Linked DNA regions of Danio rerio. The protein of the gene in region 1 interacts with the protein of each later gene in a biochemical or structural test. Links are inferred from orthologs where the notes say so. Each region holds a gene or a part of one and is shown in the gene's direction. Other genes may lie near its edges.

The links. The genes of interacting proteins can lie anywhere in the genome.
Region 2: the proteins of mlxip (region 1) and mlx form a complex in vitro, tested with the Homo sapiens proteins (2 studies listed by BioGRID, with this or other methods). The link is inferred for Danio rerio from reciprocal best matches to the Homo sapiens genes MLXIP and MLX.

Annotation. Positions count from the first base shown.
Region 1 is NC_133180.1:73,337,312-73,340,969, reverse strand, and holds part of mlxip (MLX-interacting protein), read left to right. Parts: intron 1-507; coding exon 508-1,060; intron 1,061-3,046; coding exon 3,047-3,141; intron 3,142-3,658. UniProt on the Homo sapiens protein: Binds DNA as a heterodimer with MLX and activates transcription. Binds to the canonical E box sequence 5'-CACGTG-3'. Plays a role in transcriptional activation of glycolytic target genes. Involved in glucose-responsive gene regulation.
Region 2 is NC_133178.1:36,009,040-36,012,697, reverse strand, and holds part of mlx (max-like protein X), read left to right. Parts: intron 1-48; coding exon 49-158; intron 159-1,711; coding exon 1,712-1,814; intron 1,815-1,913; coding exon 1,914-2,013; intron 2,014-3,658. UniProt on the Homo sapiens protein: Transcription regulator. Forms a sequence-specific DNA-binding protein complex with MAD1, MAD4, MNT, WBSCR14 and MLXIP which recognizes the core sequence 5'-CACGTG-3'. The TCFL4-MAD1, TCFL4-MAD4, TCFL4-WBSCR14 complexes are transcriptional repressors.

The DNA of each region.
Region 1 (3,658 bases):
TTGCAGGCACGTGCACACACAGTGCTCAACCTGTGCAGTGAACATGCCCTTTTTAGTCTTTGATAGAATGTTCCCTTCCAAAATGATCAAAAGTGCCCCCGCGGCGCGACATACCCTCCGTCCCCGCTTTACAGTACGCGCGCGACAACACAGCTGATAAGAACTTTCAACCACTATTCAGGACGCGCGCGGCGACAACACCCGCTTTAGAGTTTTACAGCTCTTTTTGATCCCCGCTTCTAGCAGCACACTCCATTTCCGCATTACTGGATCTGTAGCGACAACAGACCGCAAGGGATTATGGCCAAGCCTGGGCTTATGGGAATTGTAGTTTTCCGGTACCTTCCGTTCGCTTCATTCGCCTGAGCAAATTTTCTCAGAAGACCTATAGTTTTACCGAGTCATGCGACTACGGTAATATCGAAAAAAATTAATATTGCGGTATGACGGTATTTACAATACCGTTACATCCCTATTCAATATCTATATCCGCTTTTTGTTGTTTAGGCTTCCCTGCTTTCATCCCTGCCGCTCTCCACGGAGCTTCCTTCTCTGCCTCTGGACTACCGCCTCATGCCCTCTGCTCCTCTGCCTGGCCATCTCTCGGTGGCCAACCAGGACAATGGTAACTCCGTCGGTCCGTCCTACCAACAGCCCTACATGCCTCTTTTCACAGAGCAAGTGAGCTCCTCCGTCCCGTCTATCCTGCCTCCCCCAGCTCCACCTCTCCCCTCAGCCCCACAGCCTCTCAGCACAGTCACTACAGTCCCCCAGCCCAGCCAGAGCGTCCCGCCTTCATCAGTAATAACGCACACCGCCTCCTCCACAGTGACTCCCACTGACGCAGCCACTACCGTCAGCCACAGGTCCAGTTTTGAGCTGCCCCCTGCGCCATCTCCACAGCCTGTAGTCTCCAGCTCTGCCTCGCTCGGCTCACAGCCAGTCAACTTCGCCTTGCCCAAATCCATCCAGCCTCCCATCTCTAGCAAAAAGTCCAGACACTCACAGAGACCGATTGTCCCGGCGAATCCACTGCCGTCTCCTCAGCTCATACTGACAGGTTTGTGTCTCTCCTGAAATCGATTTTGTAACATGCTCGATATGCGATGGGATAGTTTACATAATTGTCGGTTCTGTTGTCTAGGATGTGGGTTTGATTTGGTTTAAAAAATGCATCAATAGCATTTAAATAAATCAGACATTAGTATACAATACACTACCTGACAAAAGTCTTGTTGCCTATCCAAGTTTTTGGAACAGCAAATAATATCACTACTGAGAGTTCAAACACTGAAGAGCGAATCCATCGATGTGCAGCTCTAAAGATCCCGAACCATGTAATATTTGGTATCAGAATATTTGGTATCAGAAGTGGCTTATATGAAAGGCAAAGGCCTCTAGATTACGCTTCTTTTACCTAAATAAAATATTATTATATATTAATTTTTAATTAAGACAGTAAGGTCTGACTTTGCTTTGACAAAAGTCTTGTCACTTAACAGAAATAATGTCCAGTATAGAATATAAAGTCATGCTGCAGTGGAAACAGAATGAATATTGTGTCCATCATGAGCTTGGAGGACTGCATCCACACATCTCTGCAGTGACTCTAATCACCTATTAATAAAGTCATCTGGAATGGCAAAGAAAGCGTTCCTGCAGGACTCTCATGCTGCGTTCACACCAGACATGGCACGCGCGTCAAGCGCGAGTGATTTACATGTTAAGTCAATGCAAACGGGCGGATAGACATCCTGCGGCACGATATGCGCGAATTGCGCAGGGCGAATTGACGCGCTTAACGAGCGTTTCGCGCGAATCTCTCGAGTTCGAAAATCTGAACTTCAGCGGACATTCGCACCGCGTTAACCAATCAGAAGCTTTCTCTTGTGGGGGCATGATTGTGACGTAGAACCTGTTGATGGTCTCCCGGGGGAAATCCTCCAGGCGACACCGACAACAAGTCAAACTGGGCTGGGCTCAGTCAGAAGCATCGTTGAAAGCCTCCGTGATCCAGGTTCAGTTTCTGGAGGAGTTTATGAGCTCACAGAGCTGGATGCACCTCTGAAAGGATGCAGTGGACTCAGACACAACCCTAAACGTATCAACGCTGTTTTTCAGTCTCCATAAAGCACATAAACATTGTTATTTTCTTAATAAAATCCATGTTAGCCATTTAGCTATGAAGCTTGAGTCACCGGGCAGACAGATGCCCTGCCCATCAAGCAAATCCGCGTCTGTTTTTAAGTGAATTTGACACGCGAATGAAGCAGATTTGACACGCAAATAAAGCGGGGGTTTACGCGCGAATGAAGCAAGTAAACTCAAATGTTCACGCGGCTATTTACGAGCGAATAGCGCAATTTTTCCGCGCGTTCCACGTCTGGAGTGAACACAGCATCAGAGTTCATCAAGATTCTTTAGATTCATCTGTAATGCCTCCTGTTTCATTTTACCCTAGACAAGCTAATAATGTTCATGTCTGGTGACTGGGCGGGCCAATCCTGGAGCGTCTTTGCTTTTAGGAACTTTGATATTGAGGCTAAAATATGAAAGAGCGCCATACTGCTGAAGAATTCGCCCTCGTCTGGGGTTTGTAATATAATGAGCAGCACAAATGTCTTAATACCTTAGACTTTTGATAGTCATCCACTCTGCAGATCTTTCCAACGCCCCCATACAGAATGTAACCCCAAACCATGACTTTTCCTACACCAAACTTGACTGATTTCTGTGAGAATCTTGGGTCCTTGTGGGTTCCAATAGGTCTTTCAGGAATCAGTCTCATGCTCTCCACTCCTCCATGACCGCCACAGCATCTGCTCAATTAACCTAATGGCACTTTAGGCTAAATACGAGTATCTTGCACCATATAGGAAATTGAAGCAAATAAATTAGTTATTAAAACTACTATGTTTGAAAATGTGTTTGTCTCTCTGTTAAACAGCTTTTTGGGAAATATTTGAAAAAAAAAATTTGTAATTTCAAATGAGGGCTATTAATTGTGTTTTAAATGTCCATCTATCATCATACCCATCATTCCCAGGTCCCACCAGTGCTGTCATTGTCACTCCGTCTCCTCTCTCCACTGATGTTGTCTCCACCACCGGTATGGTCATTGCCTCCTCCGGTATTCCTTGTGTAAGCCCTTCATCATCCCTCATCTTCTCTTGTGTTTGCAATAGGCCGTTTAATATTTAACAGGCTTATGTATTATTCAGAATTACTTTGAGAGAAACTTTTGTATTTGAAGAGGATGCAGAATTGTAATTTCATGGCTGCATTTATTTGATCAGAAATGCAGTAAAACCTTAATATTGTGCTATCACAATTTAAAATAACTTAATGTATTGAGGAGAGTCTGCACAGTATTGTACAACTGTAGAGTCTTTTTCTTCAAGCCTATGGTGCCATTAAGAATGCAGGCCATGTTTACAATTCCTGCTAACATTTTGCCTGCATAATTATGAGACACTTTTATTACTGGTACATAATCACATATATAATGCAATCCTGCATTAAAAAATCCTGGAAAATTCTTGATTTTTAATATAGTGTTTTCAAAGTTAGAAAAGTTCTTGGATTTTGGACAAAGTGCTTGAACCTGCTTGAATTTAAAATTGCAGAGCTCGAAATTTGTTCACCGGATGTGCAGATT
Region 2 (3,658 bases), on another chromosome or scaffold:
TAATGACTGCTGATGGCTAACAGATATTTGTTCCTCCCATTGGTTTAGATGATGAAGACAGTGACAACAGACATGAGACGCCTTATAAAGAGTCATATAAAGACCGCAGGAGGCACGCACACACGCAGGCAGAGCAGAAACGCAGGGACGCCATCAAGGTATGTGTGACGCTTTTCAGGCTAACAGACAGACACATGGAAAAAAGTAGCTGACGAAATAAAAGTCTTTTCTGGTTTATTAGTACACTAGTATGACAAACTAGAGTAACCAGTTTGGTTTGGATTCAAAGTAGAGTGATCATTCTTTTTGTAATTGACTTTAAAATACAAATGCCCAGTCTTAAAGGGGAAAAAAGGTGATGAACGTTTTAAGAATACAATAAGCAGTTTATACAACTGACCCTGTTGGAATTGCTGTTTCTTCTTTCTCTTCTTTTTCTTATCCAGAATGAATCGCTATTTTGTTTAGATTTTGATCTAAACATGCCCGAAAACTCACAAAACATTGCATCTGCCCCAGAAGTAGCAAAAATTTACGTTTGTTATAGGTTTCCGAAGTGGGCGTGGCAAAATGACATGACAGCTCCACCCATGCACATTAAACAGACTAGCCTCCAAGCTACGATTCACGCACACATATTAAAACTGACAGACCTGCCTGAAAATTCTCACGTTCGATAAGATTCCTCTCCTGAAGACATCTGCATGCCAATATCGAGTCACAGTCATAGCACCACCTGCTGACAGAAGGAAGTTTGGCATATATTGATGATTTCTGAATTTTTTTTTAGATATTTATCAGCTTAATATATTATTGTTCGCTGTGCTCTGTCATCCTGAGGCCACCGAGTGGTCCCAGGTCCCTTTCATTGCTGCTTGCAGCTTTAATTTGACTTGTGTTTACTAGTTTAGGAAACATAATAAATCTAAGAAATAGAAAAAGGTAACACTTTCATTTAAGGTGTCCATATATATGTTCCACTACTTACATATACGTACACCAATTATAAAAATGAGTTAGTTATGCATAATTACGCACAACTAACCTATATTTAGTAGGTACATGTAATTAATTGACATGTAAAACAGTAGTTACATAAATAGTTACACTGTAACAAGGACATAAAGAAAATGTATCAAATAAAATCAAGAAAATTTTGTGCTCATTTTATGGCGGCTCTTTGGAGGGGACCTAAGTAGGATCATTATTATTATAAAAACTATTATTGCTATTATGATTATTTTAAAGCTCTACGTTTGCTGTTGTACGTCTGTTGATATGTTTTGTTGATTTGCATCATTAGGCCACAAAAAAATACAAAAATAAATCAATTTCACAATGCTGTATATTATTGCTACTACCAGTTAAGTGAAAGAAATAATAATATTGTAATATGTCAATGTAAAAATAAAGTGTAAGAATCAATTTAATTTTAGCAGTTGTAAACGTATGTTATAATGTTTATATTAAATCTTAATTACTTTTTATTTTTAAAACATCAGGCTTTTATTTTGCTGGAAAACTACAGCGAGATTAGCACATTGTATTTCCAAGTGCAAAACCCAAACTCTTGGCAGATACTAAGATGAGTTGTGTTTACTTTGCACCAAGCCATTGAAAACCCTAAGTAGCTTGCTTATAAAATAGCACAGTTCTGCATGTTGCAAGTTTAACTCCTTCAAATTATCTCCATGGATCTTTAATCTCACAGAAAGGCTATGATGACCTGCAGTCTATAGTGCCTACATGTCAGCAGCAGTCAGACTTCTCCATGGCCACACAAAAGATGAGCAAAGCTACAGTCCTGCAAAAGAGTGAGAACCTTCAATACCTATTTATATGCTGTTGTCATCTTGTGTGGAATGAAAAGGCTCAGCAACTTTATATGTGTGTGTGTGTGTCTGTGTGTGTAGCAATCGACTACATTCAGTTTCTCCACAAAGAAAAGAAGAAGCAGGAAGAGGATGTTTCCACACTTAGGAAGGAGGTGATGGCGCTGAAAATTATGAAAACGTGAGTAGTTGGTTATTTAGAGGGGGGCCGGAAACATTTTAACAGCTCATGCAGACAAGTATAGATTCAGTTACACTCCTGTAGGGCTTTTTCAGGTTTCATAAGGCTTTATCTGACACCATCATTCTTCTGTTAAGAAAGATAAAAAACACCCTTTTAGGAGAACAAAGTTTTCAACCAAAAACAACTATTTTTAAGAGTTTTTCCTGTTCGTTTACAAAACAGCATTTTTGGGGACTAAAAATGGGTCACAAGGTAGAAGTTTTTGAAAACGCTGCAATTGTTGAGTGTGTGTAAACGCCTGAAAAAACAATCTTTGAAATTTATGACGTCATGTGTGCTGAATGGTATGCATTTAGTGTAATGTAGATTAAAGACAAGCACAAACACATAACATTGACAGAGTATGTGGAGGTGTTGTTGTTTGCTAACAATCCATAATCTAAGTGTCGATTTACTTCATATTACAACTAAAAGTGGAGACGCATCTTACACACACACACTGCAAATTTTATGTACACACCAGCAACAAGCTGCCAATGACCTTTTGTCACTTCCTTAAAGGTAGCACTAACAAGTAGACCAAATACTGGCCTGGCATATGTAATACAGTCCTTTTGTAAATGTGTAAAGCAGTGGTCACACTAGAGTTTGAGGTTGCAAAATTCTGTCATATTACGCTGTGAAACTGGGCAGGATAAAACAAGATGATTAAGACATCAAATTATGGAGCAATTGCTTGCTTTATGAAATTTCAGTACAGAAAAGTCACGTTTGGAATGGATCATGCAGTTACGTGATGCGATTTCACAGGTCAGGGTTCACTGAACTTTTGAACGCAGTGAATCTTGTTGCAGGAGCTTGTGTTTCTGGTCTGTTGAATTTGCATGCGTTTGAAAGGAACTCACTGTACCGTTCACACTACACGACTTGATTTTGTGTCTTTAAATCGCTGTGGTGTTTACACTACGCAACACTACCTAAATTATCCACAAGAGGGGGTCACACACTACATGATCTGACAACAACTCGTTCCACAACAGCTCAGTCAAGCACAGCCAATAAAATGTTGAGGGAGGAGACAGCAAAAAAAACTGAACACTATTGGCTGCTTGAGTGCTGATAACATCACTGACCGTAGCTATGTTTCCATCCAAAAATGCTAAATAAATTTATGCGCAAAACTGGATTATTGCATAAAAAATATATATGTATAAAGCAGCGTTTCCATCCAACAAGTCAAAGCCAACAAAATTGTCTCTTCTTGATTATCTGGCACCAAATATCAACAGTAAAAACGGAATTTGCTGCGGTAGGAGAAGCTGCGCGAATCTTTTCATTTAATAAATGACTTGCACTTTAGAAGGCAATCCCGACACGCAGTGGGCGCGTGGTGAAATTTGAAGGCGTGAGACGTGGAGCACTTTTCTAAAAGCTTTAAAGGAAATGTTTAAAAATATTGTCAGTCAGCTGATGCATCAGCAGATCAGTCGCTCATTTGCAAGGTTTACTAAAAGTGAGGTCCAGGGGCCTGTTTCAGAAAGGAGGTTAAGTAAAGTATTTTAACCCTGAAATGAGGGAAACTCTGGGTTTTCCGTTTCAAAATGGCAGGTTTGTCAAACTGGAGAAACCAGGGTAAGTCAAG